Callithrix jacchus: one gene and its partners. The protein of the gene in region 1 purifies or fractionates together with the protein of each later gene. This does not show direct contact. Links are inferred from orthologs where the notes say so. Each region holds a gene or a part of one and is shown in the gene's direction. Other genes may lie near its edges.

Region 1 (5,274 bases):
CATCCTCTTATTTAGGCCACTCAACCAGAGAGGCTGAACAACTTGCTGAAAAATCACACGTCTGTTTATCCTTCCCTAAAGGCATCATGCCTCCTGGTTCCCCTTCTGGAGTAGCTCCACTCTGAGTTTGGTGCTCGTGTGCTTGTTTCCGTATCAGCACCGGTGTGAGTGAGCTTTAGCTGTGAGAGAAATCACTGCATAGTAGCAGGCTTCCTTCAGGCCATTAGTGAAATACATGTTTATGTCATGACCAGTGATCTTACCATCACTTTAAACATTGTTTTATAGAGAAATAATCCAATTTATAAGCAGACTTTTGTAACAGTCCATTTATGAGTTGGACATTGAGTTTGGGAGTTCTCCCATGAAGAAAATGTAAAACTTGTTCTAAGAAACAACAGGATATTCCATAGCTGCCAGCCCAGTGCCTTGTCCATCATGGGTCTCTAGGAAACAGCCTGTGCTGTTTCTAATGACATCTGGGCAGATGTCTGTGTTTTGAGGTCAGGTGATTATTAAGAGGAACATAGTAACTCTTTTTTGGTTAAGTTTATCGTAACTATTTTGATTCTAAAAGCTGATATCACATGACAGAAATCTTTATTAAACCATGTGTTGAATTACATTAAATTCATATCATAAATAGACTAGAAGTCTTCCAAGTGATTCTACCTTTTTTAATGCCTCATTGTTTTTTGAGGCATTACTGTTGACTTTGCATATGATTTAATTTTTAGCCACCACCTCAAATTTATGATGCCCAGCTGGAAGAAAGAGAACATGCAATTGAAGAATGGAAAGGTAAAGACAGAGCTTGTTTTGTTCTTCCTTGTGACATTTCTTCCAATCCTATAAAGCAGAAACTTTACATTTTGTAACATTTCTCTTCAGGAAGGGGGAAAAAAAAAAACACCCTGCAGTCCACTTAGCCTCTTTCTTCCAGTTTCCAGTAGAAAAAGAACTTGAAGAGAACAGAATTAAGAGAGGCACATGTATGAATTTCTTATCATATGTTTCAAGAGGAAAAAATATTTTTTTCATGGTTTTTCACATATTAGTTTGTAAATGGAGCTTGGTAATTGTATCACACATATATTGATAACATGTTGCAAATTGTCAGGTGAGACCAATTCATTGGCTGCATGTTACCTATAGAATTCCCAGTATATGCAGAAATGGGGAGCCAGGGCTGGGGGTCATGTGAACTTCTGCTTGTTCTTTTAAGCCATGTAGTTGTATATATGTTTTAAAATCCAGTTTGGGGGAAATTGCAGATTGAAAATGTACAGGTAGGTATTATTACCACTGTAATATTAACCAAACAACCCACAACAAACTATACATGTAATGAAGAGGTTGAACTAACAATTTTTCATTAAAAAGCAGGATCAGTAGTAACTGAGAACCACAGTTAGAGTGAGTCAACACTGATGATGGGTCCTGACCCAGGGCCGTCCTGGGATGTGGGAGTGCCAGTTACCTGTGTGCCCATGCTTAGCAAGACATACACACAGCATGCTCATTGGTCTCAGTAAATGCTTGCAATGTGCTGATGTTAGTTCATGAATGCTGAAATTTTAGGAATCCCTAATAACTTACTTAGTAGGTAATTAGTTTTTCTTACAAATGAAATTTGAGGAAAACTGAAGTTGAAACTAAGAAAAGACTTAGAACATGTGGATTCATTTTCAGCCAGTGTGGGGGGCTCCTAGCCCACATGTGGCTGCTGATTACCTCTGGAGAACCCTGAGTAACCAGAGACAAACATGGGTGTGAGAATGTCCAATCCCTTATAGTGTTCTGTGGGAGCCACTCCACTTCATAAAACCCTGTTATGGATCCAGAACCTCCCTCCATGTTTTGCTACCTTACTAGTCATTGAAAAAATGTAATGTAGTCGGAGCACAGTGGCTCACGCCTGTAATCCCAGCACTTTGGTAGGCCAATGCAGATAACTTGAGGCCAGGAATTCAAGACAAGCCTGGCCAACATGGCAAAACCCCATCTTTGCAAAAACTACAAAAATTAGCCAGGCATGATGGTGCACACCTGTAATCCCAGCTACTTGAATGACTGAAGCATGAGAATCATTTGAATCTAAGAGGTAGAGGTTGCAGTGAGCCAAGACCGTGCCACTTCACTCCAGCCTAGATGACTACATGAGACTCTGTCTCAAAAAAAAAAAAAAAAAAAAGAAAAGAAAACATACAATGTATCAAACATGAATATAATATAGGATGGGCCACAGCAACTCACGCCTGTAATCCCAGCACTTTGGGAGGCTGAGGCAGGCGGATCACGAGGTTAGGAGTTCAAGACCAGCCTGACCAACATGGTGAACCCCCGTCTCTACTAAAAATACAAAAATTAGCTGGGCATAGTGACACTTGCCTGTATTCCCAGCTACTCGGGAGGCTGAGGGAGGCTGAGGCAGGAGAATTACTTGAACCCGGGAGCTGGAAGTTACAGTGAGCTGAGATCATGCCACTGCACTCCAGCCTGGGCGACAGAGCAAGTCTCCATCTCAAAAAAAAAAAAAAAAAACTTTTTAGTGAATATTTTGGTCCAGGTAGACTATATTACTGAATTGACTCTGTCTTACAATTAAAAATAACATATCATGGTGCCCTTGGAGTGGTTCCAGTTGATTTGGAAGCAGAGTTTAGAGATGCAATGAAACTGTTTAGAAACTGAGTAAGCATTTTAACTTGTATTTTTATTAAAGAGCTAATTTACAAAGAAGTCATGGATTGGGAAGAAAGAAGCAAGAATGGTGTTGTAAAAGATCAGACTTCAGGTTAGTGATTGCTTTAATAGTTTGATTGTATGATATTTTTCTTTCTCAGTTCAACTTTTATAAATGGCAGCAACATGTGAAATGCCAGCCTGGCTAGCATCAGATTTAAAAACCACTTATGAATAGCTACCCTTTTTGGCTTGTTGTGGTGGTGGTGGTGGTGGTGGATGACGTTTTACTGATAATGTCAGGCACTGAACTTTGTTATAAACATTCCTCTTTCATCTTTGCAATAACTGCGGTCAGCTTCATTTACAGATGAAGAAATTGAAAGAAAAGCTTTTTCAGTGTTGATAACCCTCTGTGTACTGGTCCCACCCAAAATGCCAATCTAGATAAAATGGAATATGATTTTCTTTTGAGAAAATTGTTCATATCATTCTCCCATTTTTCTGCTTCATCTACTGATATACAGTTGTAGAATCCTAATGCCTGGGTAGTTGTATGATAATGAGAGACTCTGATATTAGTGGTATTCACTTACGTCTGCAGGGTTCTACCTGTTTACTAAATGAAACGCTCAAGTTATATTTATTGTCTCACTCCCACTCCCACTGGAAAGCATGCACACACAGGTGTGAAGATGTGCAGAGAGCACAGCTTACTTTGTATTCTTGAATGTTATTATATTCAGCATGATGTATGTGTCAAGCATCTAGAGATTACATAACTTCAGTAAGAACTTAAGTGCTTGTTAATTAAGCACAAATTTAAGACTGTAGACGTCGATCTCAGAGAGTCTGCATGTTGTATTTTTATTCAAAACAGACTAAAACATTGATAGTAGGAAGTAGGATAGTTTCATTTGCTTTAAAATATTAAAATATCAGTTTTCTGGAGTTATAAAACAATAAAAAATATGAAGCCACTAATTTTTTTCCTTTTTCAAGTATGCAGTCTGTTTATTGCAAAAGATTTCTTTGAATATTGGTGCTTTTTTTTCTGTAGATTTAGTGTTTATGTTATAAATTCAAGTATCTAGTGACACTTGAATCCTATTCAGGCTTAAGCCTTTTGTGATACTGCATTTTCAGATAAATATAGCTGTTTCCTTTTGATGTCTACTTGAAAGAAGCAGGCATTTTTTTAAGTAGGTAACATGATTATACATGAACACATGTTTAGCCACCGAGAAGAAAACAAGAATCTTGCAAGGAAAGACATAGAAATATGGGATTCTGGGCCCAAAGAAAGACTCAAGGAAAAGCTTATAAAGTCCAGCCAAGTAACCTCTTGTTTATACTCATAGTTAGGATTGGGAAACTGCAAAAGGACAGAGCCAAGAAATGGCCTGAAGTCTCGTTGCCTGGATTTGCAGCAATGTCGTGCCTCAGATTTTATTATATTTGGTTTTCTTAGCACAGATGCAGCAGTAAGTAGCAACGCCACTCCTTCTCAGTCTTCATCTATCAATGACATTTCATCCATGTCCACTGAGCAGACACTGGCCTCAGACACAGACAGCAGTCTCGATGCCTCGACGGGACCCCTTGAAGGTTGTCGATGATAAGTTAGAAATAGTAAACCTGTCATCACTGAAGGAACTCTCACCTCCATGGGCCTGAAATGCTTGGGAGTTGATGGAACCAAACAGAAAAACTCCATGTTCTGCATGTAAGAAACACAATGCCTTGCCCTACTCAGATCTAATAGGATTGCCTGCTTAGATTATAAAATGAGGCAGAATATGTCTGAAGAAAAAAAGTGCAAGCCACATTTCTAGAGATTTTGTTCAAGATCATTTCAGGTGAGCAGTTAGAATAGGTGAATTTGTTTAGAGTTGTATGGTAATAGTAGTGACAGTTTCTCATCATCTGTAACTGTTGAGATATATGTGCATGTTACCACAAATGCTTGCTTGGACTTGCCCATCTAGCACTTTGGAAATCAGTATTTAAATGCCAAATAATTTTCCAGGTAGTGCTGCTTCTGAAGTTATCTCTTAATCCTCTTAAGTAATTTGGTGTCTGTCCAGAAAAAGTTGATTTATGTTTATTAATCGTCCATCATGATGTTATTATATCTTACTCCCTTTTATGTTATGATTTATTCTCTTTTGTATTTCAGAAGACATATAATTAAATCTATTTAATAAATAAAATATATAGCTTTTCCTATATTTGTGATGTTTGGGCTGAGAATTATCACAGCTAAAACCAAGACACTTATGTGGACACCTTGTTTTCTCTAAATTGTCTTGTCTGGGATGGTTGTATATTCAGCTTTACTGCATGATAAAATTTTAAGTTTTGCTTAGTGCTGCTTGAAATCCTAGCTACCTTATCTCTTTTCCTCTTAGTCTTTTAGACTTAATATGAATTTAAAATGCTACCTAGAACTTCACCTTCTGTATTAGGCACATAATTCTCCATCTCAGTAATATGATGGCAGATAGATTTCTGCATTCATGGCCTAACGTTGAAGTAGAATTTTACAAAATGGTCACTAGAGATCACTGCAGTCATATCCTAAGTGCT
Region 2 (5,967 bases), on another chromosome or scaffold:
AGTTACTTGGGAGGCAGGGCGGGCCCAGGTAAAGGCCAGACCCATCCCGCACCTCCAGCCCCTGCCCACCGGACTTGCCTCCTCCCTCCACTCCCTCTGGGGCTCAGGCCTGGCTGTCTGTGGTGTTGGGGCCCCTCTCTACCTCCTGGCGGTGTCAAGACTCAAGGCTATATGATGGCCAGGCCCTGGCTGCAGGGAGGGCAAGGGCCTCTCCTCCCTGCATGGTGGGGGTGGGGTGGGGGGGAGATCGGCGGTGGGGGGAGGGGTATTCACTTCTGTTGTTTTCAGTGAGAGAGAATCCACCCTCACTTAACGGATGAGGACATTGAGGCCAGGGATGCTCCTAGAAGGACCCCCAAGTGTCTCTGCCCCCACGGCCATCTCGGGGTCCTAGACCTCTGAGCTGGGCCCTTGGGTGTCATACAGGGCACCTGGAGCCACTGTCTCCCCAGGACTACACATCTGGGCCCTTGCGTGTTACCACCTGCTCAAGGTTTGGGCAGAACTCTGAAGAGGCCGCAGGTGTGGCCCGGGGAGGGTGCCCTGTGGTGGAGGCTGGAGCACAGGAGGGGAGCGTCGTCGGAGTGGGTTCCCGAGGCCCCGCTGACCAGGTGCCACCACAGGCCCAGGTGTCAGCCGTGGGGTCAGCTGAGGCAGGTGTTTCCCTGGGCTCTGGTGGCAGCAGGGGTGGTGGGAACACACAGATGCCTGGGCCTGGGAAAGGTGGGAGGGGCCTGACGGGAGCCGAGTGTGAAGTGTCTGGAGGAGAGTGAGTTCGAGGCTGGGGCTCCTGGGCAGGGAGGGGCTGGGACCTGCCCCTCAGGCTGGATTCGAGTTGGACCAGGGACACGGTACACACCGGCCTTGCACCTGCTGCTCCGTGAACTTTCCTGTCAGCCCCCGGCCCACCAGCCTGGGAACTGACCCAGAGAGTACAGAAACGGTGGTGGCCACTGTCCCCAGCCCATTTGCAGTGATGGGTATCCTCAGGGCACCTCCCCCAGTGCCCCCTGTGGCTGTGGTTGGGTGCCTGGCTTGCTGAGAGCCCTCTGCCCACCAGAGCCCCCTCTCCCCACCGGAGCCCCCTCTGCCCACTGGTGGCCTTGCAGAGACACCCAGTGCCCATCTGTGTAGGTTAGAGTGGGTTCCACCCCTGTCCTAAGCCTCAGTTTCCCCATAGTTAAAGCAAACTCATCATCCTTAATCCACGTGCCTCCTGGGGACTGTGAGTCTAAAGTGGACCCAGAGGAAGGGTAGTCCTGGCAGGTGACCGGGAGATGGACCCCGAAGTGGGGCAGTGACAGAGACTTGTCACCAAGCCTGCAGGAGGGGCTTCTAGAGACCCCATCCCCAGACACGCCTCCTCCGCCTGCCCGCCCTTCAGTCTGAGGGCTTTGCAGGCCATGCCAAGGGCCTGGCACCTTCGGGTCTCTGATACTGGGGCTGCCCCCCATCCTGGGCTCCAGCAGCCCCTGAAGGGGCCCCCCAGACCCCAGGCTCTGCTGAAGGAGGGGCACTCTGTGGGTATGACACACCCCTGCAGGAGCCAGGCACTCACCCCCAGCAGGCACATGGCACGCACTAAGCCTCAGCCTGCAGGCCAGGAGGGCAGCCGTGGCAAAGGAGCCGTGCCTCTGTGCCCGAGCCTCTCCCACACCCTGCCTGCCATCCGGCTGCCCTGGGAGCCCACTCTCGGGCAGAGACAGCCCCCAGGCCGCCATCCGCCAGGGGCTGGATTATCGGCTTACAGCGCCACCCTGCAGTCCAGGCTCTGGGGATTGGACTCCCCAGGGCTGTGCCAACAGAGGGAGGGACAGGTGTGGGGACAGCGAGCCTGGAGGAGGGCAGAGGGCTTCGCCAAGAGGGAGGGTGAGGTGCCGTCTGGACCCCTGACTTGCTGGGGGTCCTGTGGTGGGGAAGATGCAGAGGTCAGAGCAGGGAGACGCCTGCATCCCAGGGATGAGATGGAATGTTCTGGAATGCATAAGTGTCCATGAACTCCAGGGCCCAAAGGAAGGACCCCTGGCCTTGTCCTGCCGGCCGGCCCAGTCCAATGCTGTGGGCTCATTTGCCCCCCACTGCCTTGCTGCGTCCTGCTGAGAGGTGGCCTTGTGACCTGGACAGGGTCTCTCTGGAGGGAGGAGGGTCTCCGCAGGCACATTTTGGGCTCAGATGTCCTGGCGGGCTGGGGTCCCAGCTCTGGCCGGTCCTGGGAGCTTCTGGGTGCCACGAAGGGGCCTGCAATGCGGCTGACCATCCCCCTGTCCCTGCAGGTCCGGCACCATGTGCTAGGTCACTCCCAGCGGGAGGCCACACCCTGGGCCATCGGAGCAGCCCCTCCTCACTTCAGGGGTCACCCTCCCCACCACCCACTGCCCCACCATGGCCGGGGACCGGCTCCCAAGGAAGGTGATGGATGCCAAGAAGCTGGCCAGCCTGCTGCGGGGCGGGCCTGGGGGACCACTGGTCATCGACAGCCGTTCCTTCGTGGAATACAACAGCTGGCACGTGCTGAGCTCCGTCAACATCTGCTGCTCCAAGCTGGTGAAGCGGCGGCTGCAGCAGGGCAAGGTGACCATCGCAGAGCTCATCCAGCCGGCCACACGCAGCCAGGTACCCAGCGCTCCGCCCGCTGGCCTGTGCCACCTCCAGAGCCCACGGCCAAGGAGTCCTCAGCTTGGGCAGCCTCCCTCCTCTGCCCTCCAGCCCAATCTGGGCTCCTTGGGGTCACAGCCAGGAGCGTGTGGGGCAGTCCCCTCTGGCACTTGCATTTTGCCGATGCCTGCTGTCCCTGCTCAGGGCCCTCCCCACCCTTCCCCAAAGTCCTCCTCACTCAGCACCTGCATGGAGGTGCTGGCCCTCCCCACACGGTAGGGACTATGTGGCTGGGACTGGCCCAGGCTCATAGAGAGGAGCAGTGAACGGGATAGCCAGGTGTGAACACAGGGGTGGGAGCAGCCCAGACACAGCTGTGTCATCCACTCCGACTGCTGTGAGGACAGGAGGGGCGGTCAAAAGGCACACGTGAGCAGCATGTCCCCATCCCACAGCTCCCCCTAACCCCGAGTATTCAGGGACCCAGAATTCTCTCTGTGACCCCCCAGGAACGTCCTTCTGGGGAAGGACAGCTCGTTCCGCCTCAGGACTATCAGGTGCAGCTGGGGTGGGACCAGCCGGGCTGTTGACTTGTGAAGGTAGCTCCTCCTCCGACTGCCTCACAGGGGGACGAGGGTGACAAGCTATCAATCGTGGAGGCTTTGAGAGGGGTCTGGGTCACTGATATGCCCTGTTCGGAGCTGGGGCATTGGAGGACGCAAGTGAGATGGCCACTGGCCAGGAATCTGCCTGCTCCAAGGCCAGAATTGGCTCCCTTTGGCTTCCAACAAGGGGAATCCAGTGATTAATGACCCCCAGTGAGGACTCCCGGCAGGGTGCAATCCCATTGGCTGCCGGTGACGTCACCCAGCCTGGGGTTGGCGGCTCAGCTGGCTTAAGGGCTGAGTGTGCTCGCCGGGCTGGGCGGGGGCACCGGTGCAGTGTGAGCAAAAGCCGCTCAACATCTGGGCTGGCCCTTGGGGCAGGGGAGGAGGACGGGAGGAGCCCAGCTTCTAGCTGCTGCCTCCGGAACTGGTGCAGGGGCCTTCGGTCCTGCCGAAGTCCTCTGTTTCTCCGACGGGGGTTGAGGAGGGAAGAGGGTGGAGAGCAGAATTGCTGGCTCCAGAGTTAGCCCCACTGAGAGCCCACACCTGAAGGCACTGCCTCTAGAATCCCTGAAATGGGCCGAGCCTCCCTTTCCCTGCACCACCCCAGGAGCCAGCCAGTTCCTATCCTGAGTTCCCATCGCACTCACCTGTGTCTCCTCGACACAGGCCTGGCCAGAGCATTTGTCCCCTTTTCCCATGTGCAGGCAGGAGCCCGCCGCCCCCCCCCCCCGCCCCCATGGCTGCTGTGTGGCGTGGGTGTATGCACCTGGCACCTGGCAGGTGGAGGACAGTGTGTGAGGTGTGTCACTGCACCGGCTCTCCCCCCAGGCAGCAGGGTGACAGCTTTCACCTCCCATCGTCCGACGACCTCACTGTTCCCTTGGGCCAGTGTGGCTGGGACAGGGCCGGGCATCAATAGGTGGGGGTGGCATGCTGACCTCTGCCCCATGGCCCCCAGGTGGAGGCATCAGAGCCGCAGGACGTGGTGGTTTATGACCAGAGCACGCGGGACGCCAGCGTGCTGGCAGCAGACAGCTTCCTCTCCATCCTGCTGAGCAAGCTGGATGGCTGTTTCGACAGTGTGGCCATCCTCACAGGTGAGTCTGGGACCCACGCCTCCCCAAGGCACTTGGTCTGTCAGCAGGCGCTGGGGCTGGGGCGTCAGAGAGGCCAGCGTCTGCTGTGCACAGGGGAAACCTCCATATATCTGTGGTTCTCGAGGCCCTGCCATCCTCTCCCTGGGACCCCCACGCTTCAGGATCCACCAATGTGAGTTTATCCTCAACACAGAAGGAAACCCCAAAGTACAGCTCCGCTCCGGAGGTGTGGGGTGAGGCCTGCAGGTGTGGGACCCTGCTCCCCTTCCCAGAGTGCCTGACAGAAGCCGAGGCAGAGGCCCCACCCTCTGGAAATTCAGCTGGAGCCATGGGGTGGTGAGGAAGTCTCCCCACCCTGAAAGCCCAGCTGACTGCGGGCTGTCCGGCATCAAGGCTGCTGCCTGGGTCCCAGCAGAGAGCCCAGGGATCCCTGAGGCCCGAAAGCAGCCTGGGCAGCCAGCTTCAAGCTCTGGAGGCAGGGAAGCTACCCCACCGCACACTCATATACACATCTAGATACACACTCATACATACTCACACACAGACACACTCATATACACATCTAGATACACATACACACACAGAGACACACTCATATACACATATACAGATACACACTCATACATACACACAGAGACACACTCATATACACATATACAGATACACACTCATACATACTCACACACAGAGACACACTCATACACATCTAGATACACATACATACACACAGAGACACACTCATACACATATACAGATACACATACACACACACAGAGACACACTCATATACACATCTAGATACACACTCATACATACTCACACACAGAGACACACTCATACACATATACAGATACACACTCATACACATACGCAGATACACACTCATACACACATACACAGATACACATACAGATACACACTCATACACAGATACACACACATACACAGATACACATACGCAGATACACACTCATACACAGATACACATACACACATACAGATACACACTCATACACAGATACACACTCATACATACACACAGAGACACACTCATATACACATATACAGATACATACTCATACACATACGCAGATACACACTCATACACAGATACACATACACACATACAGATACACACTCATACACAGATACACACAGATACACACTCTACACATACACAGATACACACGTATACACATACAGATACTCATATACACTCTTACACATACACACTCATACACTTACACAGATACACACACACAGATACACACTCATACACATACACACACTCATATACACTCTTACACATACACACTCATACACATACACAGATACCCACACACACATACAGATACACACTCATACACATACACACAGATACTCATATACACTCTTACATATACACACTCATACACTTACACACATACATACACACTCATGCACTCATACACACACACATACACAGATACACACATACAGATACACACGTATACACATACACAGATACTCACATACACTCTTACATATACACACTCATACACTTACACACTCATTCATACACACTCATATGCACTCATACACATACACACATATACACACACATACGCAGATACACACTCATACACATACACAGATACATGTATACACATACACACAGATACTCATAC
Region 3 (5,810 bases), on another chromosome or scaffold:
CTACTGGAAGGGTTTGCTCTTCTCTCACCTGAGTACACCTTACTCATTATTCATTCCACCTCCATGTCTTGGCTCATTGCCATTTGCCCTCTGGAATCGTCCCTCCACCGGCTTCTTCACTGCAAACTGAATCTTAACTATCCTTCAAGGATAAGGTCAAAACTCTTCATAAGGTGCCTTCCCCGATAATCCCACCCAAACCCGTTTCTCAGTTCTTTTGCCAATGAAAAAAAAGTGCTTTAGGCAGGGTGCATCGCTCCTTTTCTCCCCCGACTCTTTTAACCAATATTGTACATCACTCAATCAGTGCTTTGGCTTTTAATTAACTTTAATCTATGTCTTTTTTCCAGAAATAGATGAAATACCCCGAGAGGCTTCCATGATAGCTATGATGGCACCACATGCATACATTACACAAATTTAATTGTAATGAGGATGAAAGGGGAGAAAGATTTCAAGCCATGTCAGTTAAAGCAAGGTTACTGGAACTATGGCATGCAAAGGGGATATCATGAATTCTCATGAATCTTTTCTCCAGGCAAGATCCATGCTCTGTACCACTAGTAAAAGGACTATCTTCTCCTTCCTTCCTAAAAATCCCAACACCTCCAACAAAGGTCTACAGTTAGATTTTTAGGGGTTTCCTGGTAGAGCACAAATAATCCCAAGGAAGCTGCAGTAACACCTCCTGGCCACCAGAGGACAGGAAGCAGTGGGAGAGATTTGCTTTCCCTAGCAGAAGTCTTCAGGAGGCCAGAGGCACCGGCTCAGAGTTGCTTCTGCACTGTGGCCTTCGGGCTTTACCTACCGCCAGAGGTGCTGGCAATGCCTCCCATCTTCAAATGGACTTTCCTCCCTCCTATAAAAGCCGGAGCCTTACCCGGCAACACTAACCTTCAATGATTACCAGTCATAAGGAATGCCCTTCAGTTGCAGGATTTAAAGGCAGAAAAGTAGCAAAAGGGGTGTATTATCTTTCTAACCCACCCAAACCCGCTTCTCAGTTCTTTTGCCAATGAAAACAAAGTGCTTTAGGCAGGGTGCATATGGATATCCCACAACAGTGTCTTTAGGGGCCAGTGTCCCAATCAGGCACATCGCAAACGGAGTCTTTTAGGAGTTAGATTATTCCAACACATAAATTCTGGCTCATGGAGCAGTCCACTCGCAGGGTGCTTTTCCGTCATTAATCACATCTTTGTTATGTGATATCCACGTGAGCACTTCTCACTAGAAGCAGCTTCATGCTTAAATGCTCAAAGAACATTGAAATAAAGCTCCCATTGTCCTATTCAGTAATTCCAAGTCCTCGTTTGTCACCACCTCAGGTCTCTCGTTTTCCAAAGTGCATAATGTCATCTAAAAAAAAAAAAAGCAATTTTAATGAATTCAAATAATAAAATGCAAGAGGTATGTGGAGTCAAATCAACAAGGGTTTTGTACCTCTCAAAAGGCAGTGAACCCCTGGTCTGATTTAAAGACGTTTCTGCGCTGCCTCCTGTAGAAAACATTTTCAAAGAGAATCTAGGCTCCTTATCCTCCTCTTTGCAAATACAGGCAAAGTAAAGTAATTTAGGAATATTTACGCGGGGGTTTTCAACCACAAACATAGAGATGGCTGAAAGCCTGTCAACGGCAGTGTGATTTTTCTTGAAATACCTGTAACTTCTCTACTGAGAAACGGCAGAACTTTGTCTTTTGCATTCCTCAGACTTTTAAGAGAGCGACTGAAATTCTCTCAAATCAGTGTTTGCGTTTTTTGACGTTGGTGAGGCAGCTGGAAACAGCTCAAGAAGGAGGGAAAGGGTCTGCGTCTGGGTGCGGGGAAAACCCTCCGATACCTGCTGCAGCGCAGCGCTGGAGGCGGACACCCTGGCCCGGGGGGCGGCGGGGGCGCGGGCCCGGAAGGAGGAGGAGGAGGAGGAGGGAGAGGAGGGGGAAGAGGCCTCGGGGCCGCCTCCTCCGGCAGCTCCGGCTCCTCCCAGCGGCGCCCGCGGAACCTGCCTCAGAGTCGCCGGACACTGGAAGGGAACATGACCTGACCCCTCCCCAAGCGGCCGGAACGAGGCGCGGAGTCGCGCTCGGGGCTCCGGCGTCCGCGGGATGGGCGGGCAGGCGGGCGCGCGGCCCCGCCCGGCGCCCACCGCCCTGCCCTCGCCTGTCTCCTCCTTTCCCCGGGGCTCCGCTGAGTTCATTCACTGGGATTGGTTTCAAGTGACGCCATCTCTTTATTTTTAAACCAATGACCTCATCCGCGCTTGAAGTTTCCTGACCAGCGGCTCTTTCTCTTTCCCCCAACCCCCCACCCCCCCCAGCCTTTCCCCCTCTTTCTATGTATCACTGTTTGGGGGACTTTAATCAGTTTTTTAAACGATTATTGCCACCCCTCACTCCCCCCAACCCCCGCTTTCACCACGCGGCCCCCCACCTTTACCTCCCTAAGTTCTTCATCCCTTTCGACATTTTTTTTGAAGGCTGGCTGGGGGGACTGTGGAAGAGAAAGAGTGAAGAAAAGTTGCGAGCGTCTCCTCTCTTCCTGAGCCTCCCGCCCCCACCCGCCCCTCAGAGAAGGAGAAGATAATATAGTGAAAAGAGGACGAGGAGGAGAGCGACGGGACGGGACGCGAGCTGGAGCGCAGCCGCCCTCTCGGCTCCGCGGCGGCGCCTCTCAAGCCCGGGAGGCGAGAGGGGCCCGAGGGGAGACGCCGTGACAACTTTCGTTTCCCTCTGAGGGAACTGGGAGGTCGGCGGCCCCAAAAGTAAGTGGCCTCGGCGGGCCGCGCGGGGTGTGCAGGCGGGAGGGTGCGGGGCCCGGGGCGCCCTCCCGCCCGGCCGCATGGACGCTCCGCGGCGCGTCCCGATTCCCGGCCCCGGGCGCCGTGCTCTTGCCCCGCCGGCTCTGCCTTCCCCGGCGTACCGACCACCCTTTCGGGAGCGGCGAGGGGGCGACCACGGCCGGGGGCCGCAGGAGCGTTTGAAGCTGGGGTGTAGGCCTGGCCCGCGGCGGGCCCGAGCGGGAAGGGGGCGTGCGGCCGGCGCGGGGTCGCAGTGGGTGCGCCCCCGGCTGTTGCGCGGCGAGCGGGCTCGGACCGGGCCCCTCCGAGAGGCGCGGCCGCCGCGGGACGCGGCACCTTCGCGGGCGAAGCTGTTCACTTCCAGGCGCGACTGTTACACAACACGCCTGCCAAGTGGGGCCCCGGCCTGACTGTTCCCATTATCCCCAGTTCGCCTTTGGTGTAAGCAGCGAGGCCACCTGGGTGGTGACGGTGCTGCTTTCTGTAATCAACCAACCAAAAAAGCCCTTAATTTTCCGACAGGGGATGAGTCTTGGCGTTGGGGGGCCCGACGCCTAGTGACTTCTTTATTTACACTAGCTGCAAAACGTGAGAAATAAAAAAGCCCAGGGTCTGTGTATCACGTGTACTTTCGCGTAATGAAACACCACAGAGGGAAATATTTTCAGATGCTGGGTCTGTTTCCTAAAGAATACCGGTAGTGAACCAGAGGAAATACAGTGGATCTGAAAATGAATGGACACCGCAACATCCTAAAGAAGTTCAGGGAACATCAACTGCAAGGATTCTTGGCGTTTTGAAGTCGTGTGTCTCAGATTGGAGAAAGCACACCTCTAACCAGCCTGTGATGAGTAAGGTGTGGAGGAAAAAAACCTGTTGCATAATCTCATTTGCCGTGGGGTTTGCTGTGCCGTCCCCTTGAACCAAAGGGAAGTGAGTTAAGATGCAGGGTTTTAAAACTCGGTGAAGTTTTTATTTACCCAGTGCCCTGGCTGCCACTTCTGTTTTAAAAGATTATAAGTAAACACTCTGCTCTTACAAGTGAACCAGACCTATCAAACCTGTTTAGAAAATAACCAGGTATGTTTCTCTCTTCCTTCTTTTCCGCGTGTGTGTGTGTGTGTGTGTGTGTCTGAGAGAGAGAGAGAGAGAGAGAGAGAGAGAGAGAGAGAGAGAGAGAGAAAGAAATTTACCATCCGAGCAAAAGCTTATGACTAGGGTTTGGGGAACTGAGACTATCAGAAAAATGCCTCTCTATGCCACTCACCTGATGGGGCTGATGGAGAGTCCACGTAAAGGACAACCGTTTCATTAGGATTTATGCTGTTAAATCTCCATCAAGAAAAGGGCTTGTTAAAGTTAAGGTAAATTTTTAAAAGATTTCGTACCAATTGGACTAATTACTCTTTAATTACTTCTCCTTGAGAAACGCATGTATTGGTGGATACCACTTGGGAGGCTCGTGGAGTCTATTTGGTGAAGGGCAGCAGCTTGGAGAAGTAAAATGAAAAACAGAATGTATGGCTTTGTGTAGAGATTTTAGTAAAAATGTGAGTAGGCACCGCGAAAGGTTGTTTTTTAAAATTGTGGAATTTACTGAGTTTGAAGACAAGGTGGAAAGTTGCATTAAATTGTTTTTTAAATTTTCCTAACATTTACCATCTTATGTAAAAATATGGGCTAAATAACATCAGCCCAAGAGGTGGATTTTAGGTAAAATAATTTTTGCACTTAGCAAAAGTCTACATGGAGGAAAATTAGAAAGGAGCTTATTTTGAATTCTGTTAATACGGTGAATATTGTATTGAAAATAACTTGGTTCAGGTACTATAAATGTACATTCAGATATAAAAAGTGTAAACTGTGGTAATTAATTTTTCTTAGTATTAACCTCCGCTGTATCAGCAACTCAAAGTAAAATATCTCATTTGTCTGAAAATTATACTTATTTTACTTAGGTGTTTCACATAGTGCCTGATTATGGAGGGGGCTAGGGACAGAACTGCAGAATTATCCAGTTTTGTTCCTTTTTCATTTAGAATGTTCTTGTTCTTTGGTTCAGTTTGGTGAATGTGAGTACCTATGAAATAAAAATAGTCATGTAAAATTGGGGGTTAGAGTCTCTTGGACCAAAAGCTTAATGGCAGTAACTGAGGAGGCAGCAAAAGAGGAGATCCTGTTACTCCAGTTCTTTTACGTTTTCCTATACATTTAAAAAGTATTTGTGGGATAGTTGAGAGTGGAAGTGAGGCTGAGATGGGGGGGAGGAGAGTAGGTATGTGTGAAGGTTGCAAAGTTTAGGTTGGGGTCAGGAGAAGAGGCAGGATTTATGTGTGAGTTTGTTTTGATGCTGTTTTCTGTAAATACCTGTATTGGGAATTTAATTTCATACAGTTTTTAGCATGTGGGATTAATATAGTCATGAAGCAGACTTATATAGCTCTCCAGTATTAAATTTTTTTTTCAATTTTCAGCTAATCCTAAAATTCTACTAAATACAATTTGCTAATAATTTATCCTAGAACTCCCAAGTTTTCCTAGACAGAAATAGTTTTCTACCTTGTGTTACCTGAACTAAAAATTTCACTGAACATTCGGTGTTTTTTAAAATGCGTTGAGTTCTCAAGCAAATGGTACTTTAGTTTGAAGAAGTAAATTAATACAGGTGAACTGATTTGGATCAGAATCCCAAGAAAACAAGCAGATAACTTAGAGGACACAAAACAGATTTTATGACAGATTTCAACAGAGGAAAGGAACTAGTTAAAAAGATTTCGCAGGAAAAACCATTGTTGATGCTTGATTGGCTTCAAAAGAAATTTACTGATCAAATTTTAGAACAGATAACTCACCATCATAAAAGAAAATCTGAATGTTGGCTTAAACAAAAACATAATTAGGAAAATAAGTCTTGCCCAAAGCTACATATGATAAATTCCAAAGCCAGATGTCAATTTTTTCCTGATTGTCTTGTGTTGTAGACAATCTGTTATTTGTATGCATTTCATTATCCTT
Region 4 (6,042 bases), on another chromosome or scaffold:
TGTGGTCATTCTTGTGGGAGGTCTGGGAACTGGAGTTTTGATAAGGCTGAGCCCGAATGAAGCTATTGGCCAACCCGTCTTGGTTCTGTGGGAGTCAGGAGCCTCCTGTTTCTCCTTAGGAAAGGAAGCAACCATTGCAGACGAGGAAAGCTTGGTCAAAAGTTGGTCCAGAGCTTGGTCAAGAGTTGGGGGTCAATTGGCCAGAACAGTACCGAACACTCTGGGCTCAGAGTGAGGGTCCTGAGTGTCATCCTGCAGTGCCACCCAGCCTCGCAGCCTACTTAAAACTCCAGGCTGCGGGTCAGTTAGTGCAGGGCCTGCTCCAGGTCCTCAATCCATCCTTTAATTCAATGCAGCCACTTAAGCTTGCAGCCCGTGGTGAGGAGGGGATGCAGGCTCTCTGGCTGGGACTAGGTAGTTGAGATCTGCCCACAGCCAAGCCTAGGGCCTGGATTCTGGCTTTGTCTCCTGCCCACCTAGCCAAAGAATGGCCCCTCTCGGTGCAGCATGGCCTGCTTCCATGCTAGGGGTGCTAGCCTTGAACTGAGAGCTTTATGAGCTCATACCCCAACTTCCTGTAGGGAGGGGTTGAGGCAAGGCCCAAGAATATCACAGTCTGGCCTGTACAGAGTGAGAAAGGAAGAAAGGGGAGGAACCTGCCTTGGGGACTTCTCTCATTCTTGGCGCTGCTCTGAAGCTCCTGCTGGCCTCCTTCCTACCAAGACCTGGGCCTGTGTCCCTCTTGCCCTTCTCCTGGCTCTCTCTTACTATAGCTTTGGTTTGGCCTTTGGAGCTAAGATACCTTTACTCTTGAGCAAAAGATTCTGGAAGAGGGAGTTGTCATGTGCATACACTGCTGCTGAGGACAACCTCCTGAGGATGTTCCCTAGCTGAGACTAGTCCACATTTTAAGGAACAATTAGTAGCCATGATGGCAAGACTGCTTTCCTGGGAGGAAAGCCCAGGCACCATGGCAGCAGATGGTTAATGTGAGGGCCCAGGGAAGGGGTCTGAGCACAAAAAGCTAAGAATAGTGGCCACCCCTCTGGGCCCCAAGAGCAGGGAAAAGAGAAGCAGCCACGACCTTTGGCTTTGGGTATTGGGATATTGAGTCTGGAGCTGGGGGGTTGCCTTCTGCAAGGAAGGTGCCTTCTGCTCCTTGCTGGGTGCTACACTGAGGGAAAGGGGCCAGCATTACCCGTCAGCCTTCCAGATACGCAAATAGGACTCCACGACTTGTGGCACAGTATGCAGGTTTTCTGTCCTGTCCTGCAGTGTGGACAGGGTCTCTAGGGTTCTCTTGAGGGACCAGAGAAGCCAATAAGGTTTGCCCAGAGGCTCCATGACCCACCAAAGCTGGAGGCCTAGTCCATACTCTGTGAAATGACTCAATCAGGGAACACAGGGCCTTGAAGGCCTGGAAGCTCAGGCTTAACACCCTCTTGGGGGAGAGACAATGAGGAAGAAACCATGGCCAAAGCCTAGCAGGGATGGAGGTGCCAGAGGGAACAGAAAGAACCAAAATGATCCCAAGAAGTCAACAGTGGGAGCAGAGGGAAAAGCCCCAAGTCTTAGAATGTGAGTCTGTGGGTGCAGAGGAGGGGTGCTCTGCAGGAAATGCAGTTGAGGCGCTAAGAAGGAGAATGCTGGGAAGGTCCTGGGGTGAAGGAGGAGGTGCTGAGAGACTGAAAAGGCTGGAGGGCTCAATTCACCACAAGTAGCTGTTAGGGGCTGAAGAGAGGCTTGCATCAATCTTTAGAGAGGGCAGCCTCTAGGGAGAGTCTTTGGCAGGGTCCCCTCAAGGTAAAGGGACAGGACTGGGGTGAGGCCTGGATCCCGGTGCAGGAGGTGGAGTGTTTCCAGGTCTTAGTAGCAACACATTTGTGTTACGTTACATCCTCACAACCATGAGAGGGGCCGTTATTGTCCCATTTCACAGGTAAGAAGACCACACCTTAGTCCTCTTTAGTCACTAATGCAAGGCCCCAATGCCCAATCACTTGTGGAGCCAGAGAATTCACACCACCCAACTCCAAACCTGTACACTCTAAGAACCCACTGATATCCTCTCCTTTTTCTGCCTTCCTCCACGACCCTCCTTTTTCGTCTACCTTCTTGGTCTCTGCTGCGGGGGCCAAACCTGGACCTTGGGGTCCAGGGTCCTGCCATTAGTTATCTGATACCCGAGCGCTAAGCTCACCCGGAGGGACAAAGCCCACACCAGCCACTGGGGACCTTGAGGGGTAGAGGAGAGTCAGTGTCGGATTTAGGGCGGGGCTGAGCCAAGCCCAGGGCCGCGGGTCCGTGGCTTCAGCACCGCGGAGAGCGCCATCTCCGGGGGCGGGGCTGTCGGGACAGGGGCGGGGAAAGGGCGGGGCGCTCGAGACCCCGGCCGGGGCCCAGGGGCGCGCGCCGGGCGCTCTAGCCAGTCCCGCTAGCCGTGCGCGGCGCGGAGCCGCGCCTTGCCAGACACAGGTGCGCCCGCCCAGCCCGCCCAGCCCGAGCCCCGCGGCGGCGGCGGCGGCGGCGGCGGCGGCTGCCCCCTCGCCGCGCCTCCGCCTCCTTCGCCGCCGTCGCCTCCTCCGCGCCGCGCTCCGCCCGGATGGCCAGGGCTGTGCCCGAGAATGGCGGAGCGAGAAAGCGGCGGCCTGGGCGGGGGTGCTGCGTCCCCGCCCGCCGCCTCCCCGTTCCTGGGGCTGCACATCGCGTCTCCTCCCAATTTCAGGTGAGAGTCCCCGGCCGCCGCGCGCCTCGCCCTTCAGCGGGACTGATCCTCCTGGGCTGTCCCTGGCCGCCCCCTACCCCAGAACCTCGGGAACCCGGGAACGAGAGGACGGCGTGGGGATGGGGTATCTTCCCGGGACAGAGTCCCCCAGAAGCCCCGCCAGCCTCATGCTCGGACTGGTAGTCGCTGCAGGTTCACGGGGCCGCTCCCTCCGCCATTCCTGGTCCTAGGCCGGGAGGTCTGCGCTGGAATTGGAGGAGGGGGCTCGGAGGCTGCCTTCTTTCCCACCTCCGGGCTGGGCTGCAGCAGGGTCTGGGATCCGGGTTGTGATCCCTGAGCGGGCAGGCGGGCTGCATCTTAGCCTTTGCCCAGTCGGAAGATTTCTGAATAGGGCTGGGAACAGCCTGGGCGGGGCGGGGAGGGGCGGGGGGGGGGGGTCGCGGGTCGCAGTTTCCTGGGGGCAACGTTGTTGTTGGTGCTGGGAGGACGGCGTCTTGGGCCCCTGCCTGCCCAGATGGGCCTACCTGTCATGTCCGCCATGGCCAGGCCCCTCTCTGGATTGAGCAGCACCGACCTGGGCAGGTGTGTCTCTCAGGGCAGGCGCTGAAGGCTCAGCCTCAACCTGGGGAATCCTAGGCCCGGCTGTGGGAAGGGAAGTCGGCCAGGGAGTAGCCAGGGCCAGCGGGGGTGTCAGGGGTCCCTGCTGGAGTAAATACCCAGAACCCTGACCTAAGCTCCCATTCCACCCCTCCCACCGCCCCCCACCAGCCTGGTGTTAGGTCTGATGTGTTTCAGAGAAGTGAAGGGTGACTGTGTGGAGGAGGAATAGATATACCTCCCCCATAATTCTGACCCCTAGTTGGTGGGGAGGAAGAGGCAGATGTCACTGCTCCCCACCTAGAGAGGGAGGCTTAGACATACCCCATTGTTTCCCCATCTCAAGAGCTGGCGCCTTCCCCTCTCCTGGGGCCCCACCCCAGCCAGGCTCCAGCTGGGCTGTGGCGCCAGCCCCTCCTGGGAGCAAGGGGTCACTGGCTCCCAGGTCCTCAGGTGGACAGAGACCCCTGGGGATCTCTAATGGCATCATCAAACCCAGAAACCTCCCCCAAGACCCTGAGCTGAGCCGGGAGGACCAGAGGGGGCCAGATGGAGGAGACCAGGCCTGAAGGCTCCAGGGCTGCAGCTCTCTGATAATGCCTTCGACTCACAGGCTGAGGTCTGAGACTCCACCTGGCGTGGCGCACAAGGCCTCCATGCAAACACTGCCTCCCCACCTGGAGGCCTCTCTGCAGTGGAAGCACATAGTGCTTATAAGGACCTGGGTTCAAATCCTAGCTCCACTATCCAACTGCATGACCCAGGCAGGGTTTTGTCCACTGAGTGCCATCTGTTAAGTGGGCCGATTAATATTGATTCCTGCCTGGAAAGGAGAAAAAGCAGAGCAGGTCAGTGTTCAGCAAGGGCCAGCCCGGACACTAGCAGACTGCTACAGCTCGCTGCTATCCAGAGTGTCCTCCCAAGGCCACTCTCTTGATCCTCATAACCACCCGAGAGAAGGTAATGGTCCTCCCATTTTATAGACAAGGTGATTGAGATGAACAAAGGCAGAGTGGCTTGCTAGGGACTCCAAAATAGTAAGAGGCTGAGGCCACAGTGGGACCCAGGTCTGTGCATGTTCAGTCCACTCTGCCTCCCCGCCCTGCCTCCGGCCTAGAGGGCAGCTTTTCCTCCCCGACCTGCTTCCCCAGGTGTCATGAATGCTTTAGTGAGAGGAGCTGAGGAAACGGATACCAGCTAGTGAGTGTGTGGCCAGCTCTCGCCACATGGGACAAGGGTGGCAGTAGGCCAGGAGGTTGAAGCGTGGGTCGGCCCTCCAGGACATCGTGGCCTGGCTGCAGAGACAAGGCCAGCATGTGGGAATAATACGGGTCAGTGTCTCAGGCCCTGCTGACCTGCCCTGCTGTTCCTGCAGCCCCCACTGCCCTTTCTCCTGGCCCGCCTCTCACTATGCTTGACCCAGCTCCACTTAACCCTGGGTGGGTGGGTAGTGCTTTCCTGTGGCTCTTTGGTGGTGTCATGGATCCAACTGGCCTGGGCTTGAATCCTGACTGGGCCTTCTTAGCTGTGTGCCTTTACACTGGACACTTAAGCTCTCTGAGCCTCCAAGATGCCAGCGCTGGCCCCTGCTCAGGATGGTCCTGTGAATCAGATGAGATAACACGTGTTGAGTGTTTCAAGGGCTGAGGAGAGCCACAGGTAGGCAGGGCTGTGTGTGTGTGTGTGTTTATGTGTGTGTGTGCAACTTGACCCCCAGTGCCACTGTCAGCTCCCAGAAGACACAGGGGATCTGTACCCAAACTTTGGTATCTCCATTGCTCAGCACACGATAGGTACTCAACGGTGGTAAGCGCTGACATTTGGAAGGCACTCAGTTCGCCCAGGCACCATTCTAAGAGTTTCCTGTGTGCAAGAGTATTTACTCTTCACAATAACGATATCAACAGAGCATTGTTATTATCCACACTTGCATGAGGAAACTGAGGCAGAGGGAGGTTACGTAAGTGGCAGAGCTGGTAAGTGGCAGGCAGTCTGATGTCAGAGCCACCCCAAAAAGGAAGAGCCCTGGAGTACTGGAGGTGCTGGTGTGGAGGGGTGAGCATGTGGACCTGAAGGGGCAGGGGGAGCATTAGTTTGTTGGTAGTTGGTTGAAATAAATACGTGTTGATTTTTGTTCTGATTATAGAAATGCTACACCTGGTTATAGTGGTTAGTAACCTTTGGGTATGATATGGGGCGAGGGATTTTCACTTCTTATTTTACATACTTTTATATTACAGGTTGAGTATGCCTTATCTGACATGCTTTGGAGCAGAAGTGTTTCAGGTTTCTAATTCTCTTGGATTTTGGAATATTTGCATATGCATAATGAGATAGCTTGGGGGCAGAACCCAAGTCTAAGCATAAAATTGATTTTTTCTTGTATGCCTTATACACACAGCCTAAAGGTAATTTTATACAATAGTTTAAATCATGTTGTACATGAGACAAAGTCTTGACTGCAGCCTGTCACATGGGGTCAGGTGTGGCATTTTCCACCTGCGCTGTTATGTTGCTGCTCACACATTTAGGATTTTGGAGCAATGTTTTCAGATTAGAGCTGCTCACCTGTATTTAACTTCTTATTTTATAATTAGCAGTTACTTCTGTACCTTAAAAATAATAAAAGGAAATTCAAAATTAAAGTGATACATGTTCATTATAAAGAAAACTCTAGAAAAGAGAATTTCTATATTTATACAGTGGAGACATTGGCACTG

What was found.
Region 2: the proteins of MAPK9 (region 1) and DUSP8 purify together in Homo sapiens (affinity purification with mass spectrometry; 4 studies listed by BioGRID and IntAct, with this or other methods). This does not show direct contact. The link is inferred for Callithrix jacchus from reciprocal best matches to the Homo sapiens genes MAPK9 and DUSP8.
Region 3: the proteins of MAPK9 (region 1) and DUSP16 purify together in Homo sapiens (affinity purification with mass spectrometry; 6 studies listed by BioGRID and IntAct, with this or other methods). This does not show direct contact. The link is inferred for Callithrix jacchus from reciprocal best matches to the Homo sapiens genes MAPK9 and DUSP16.
Region 4: the proteins of MAPK9 (region 1) and MAPK8IP1 purify together in Homo sapiens (affinity purification with western blotting; 4 studies listed by BioGRID and IntAct, counting the BioPlex papers as one, with this or other methods). This does not show direct contact. The link is inferred for Callithrix jacchus from reciprocal best matches to the Homo sapiens genes MAPK9 and MAPK8IP1.

The regions. Positions count from the first base shown.
Region 1 is NC_133503.1:71,381,552-71,386,825, forward strand, and holds part of MAPK9 (mitogen-activated protein kinase 9), read left to right. Parts: intron 1-737; coding exon 738-801; intron 802-2,725; coding exon 2,726-2,797; intron 2,798-4,156; coding exon of another isoform or gene 4,157-4,161; coding exon 4,162-4,304; 3' UTR 4,305-5,274. UniProt on the Homo sapiens protein: Serine/threonine-protein kinase involved in various processes such as cell proliferation, differentiation, migration, transformation and programmed cell death.
Region 2 is NC_133511.1:130,332,374-130,338,340, forward strand, and holds the start of DUSP8 (dual specificity protein phosphatase 8), read left to right. Parts: upstream 1-2,352; 5' UTR 2,353-2,382; coding exon 2,383-2,613; intron 2,614-4,161; coding exon 4,162-4,300; intron 4,301-5,967. UniProt on the Homo sapiens protein: Has phosphatase activity with synthetic phosphatase substrates and negatively regulates mitogen-activated protein kinase activity, presumably by catalysing their dephosphorylation.
Region 3 is NC_133510.1:10,741,662-10,747,471, forward strand, and holds the start of DUSP16 (dual specificity protein phosphatase 16), read left to right. Parts: upstream 1-2,195; 5' UTR 2,196-2,759; intron 2,760-3,463; 5' UTR 3,464-3,875; intron 3,876-5,810. Other genes in the region: uncharacterized protein LOC144577833, read right to left, coding at 1,249-1,359, 1,842-2,195. UniProt on the Homo sapiens protein: Dual specificity protein phosphatase involved in the inactivation of MAP kinases. Dephosphorylates MAPK10 bound to ARRB2.
Region 4 is NC_133511.1:110,907,720-110,913,761, forward strand, and holds the start of MAPK8IP1 (C-Jun-amino-terminal kinase-interacting protein 1), read left to right. Parts: upstream 1-2,427; 5' UTR 2,428-2,624; coding exon 2,625-2,725; intron 2,726-6,042. UniProt on the Homo sapiens protein: The JNK-interacting protein (JIP) group of scaffold proteins selectively mediates JNK signaling by aggregating specific components of the MAPK cascade to form a functional JNK signaling module. Required for JNK activation in response to excitotoxic stress.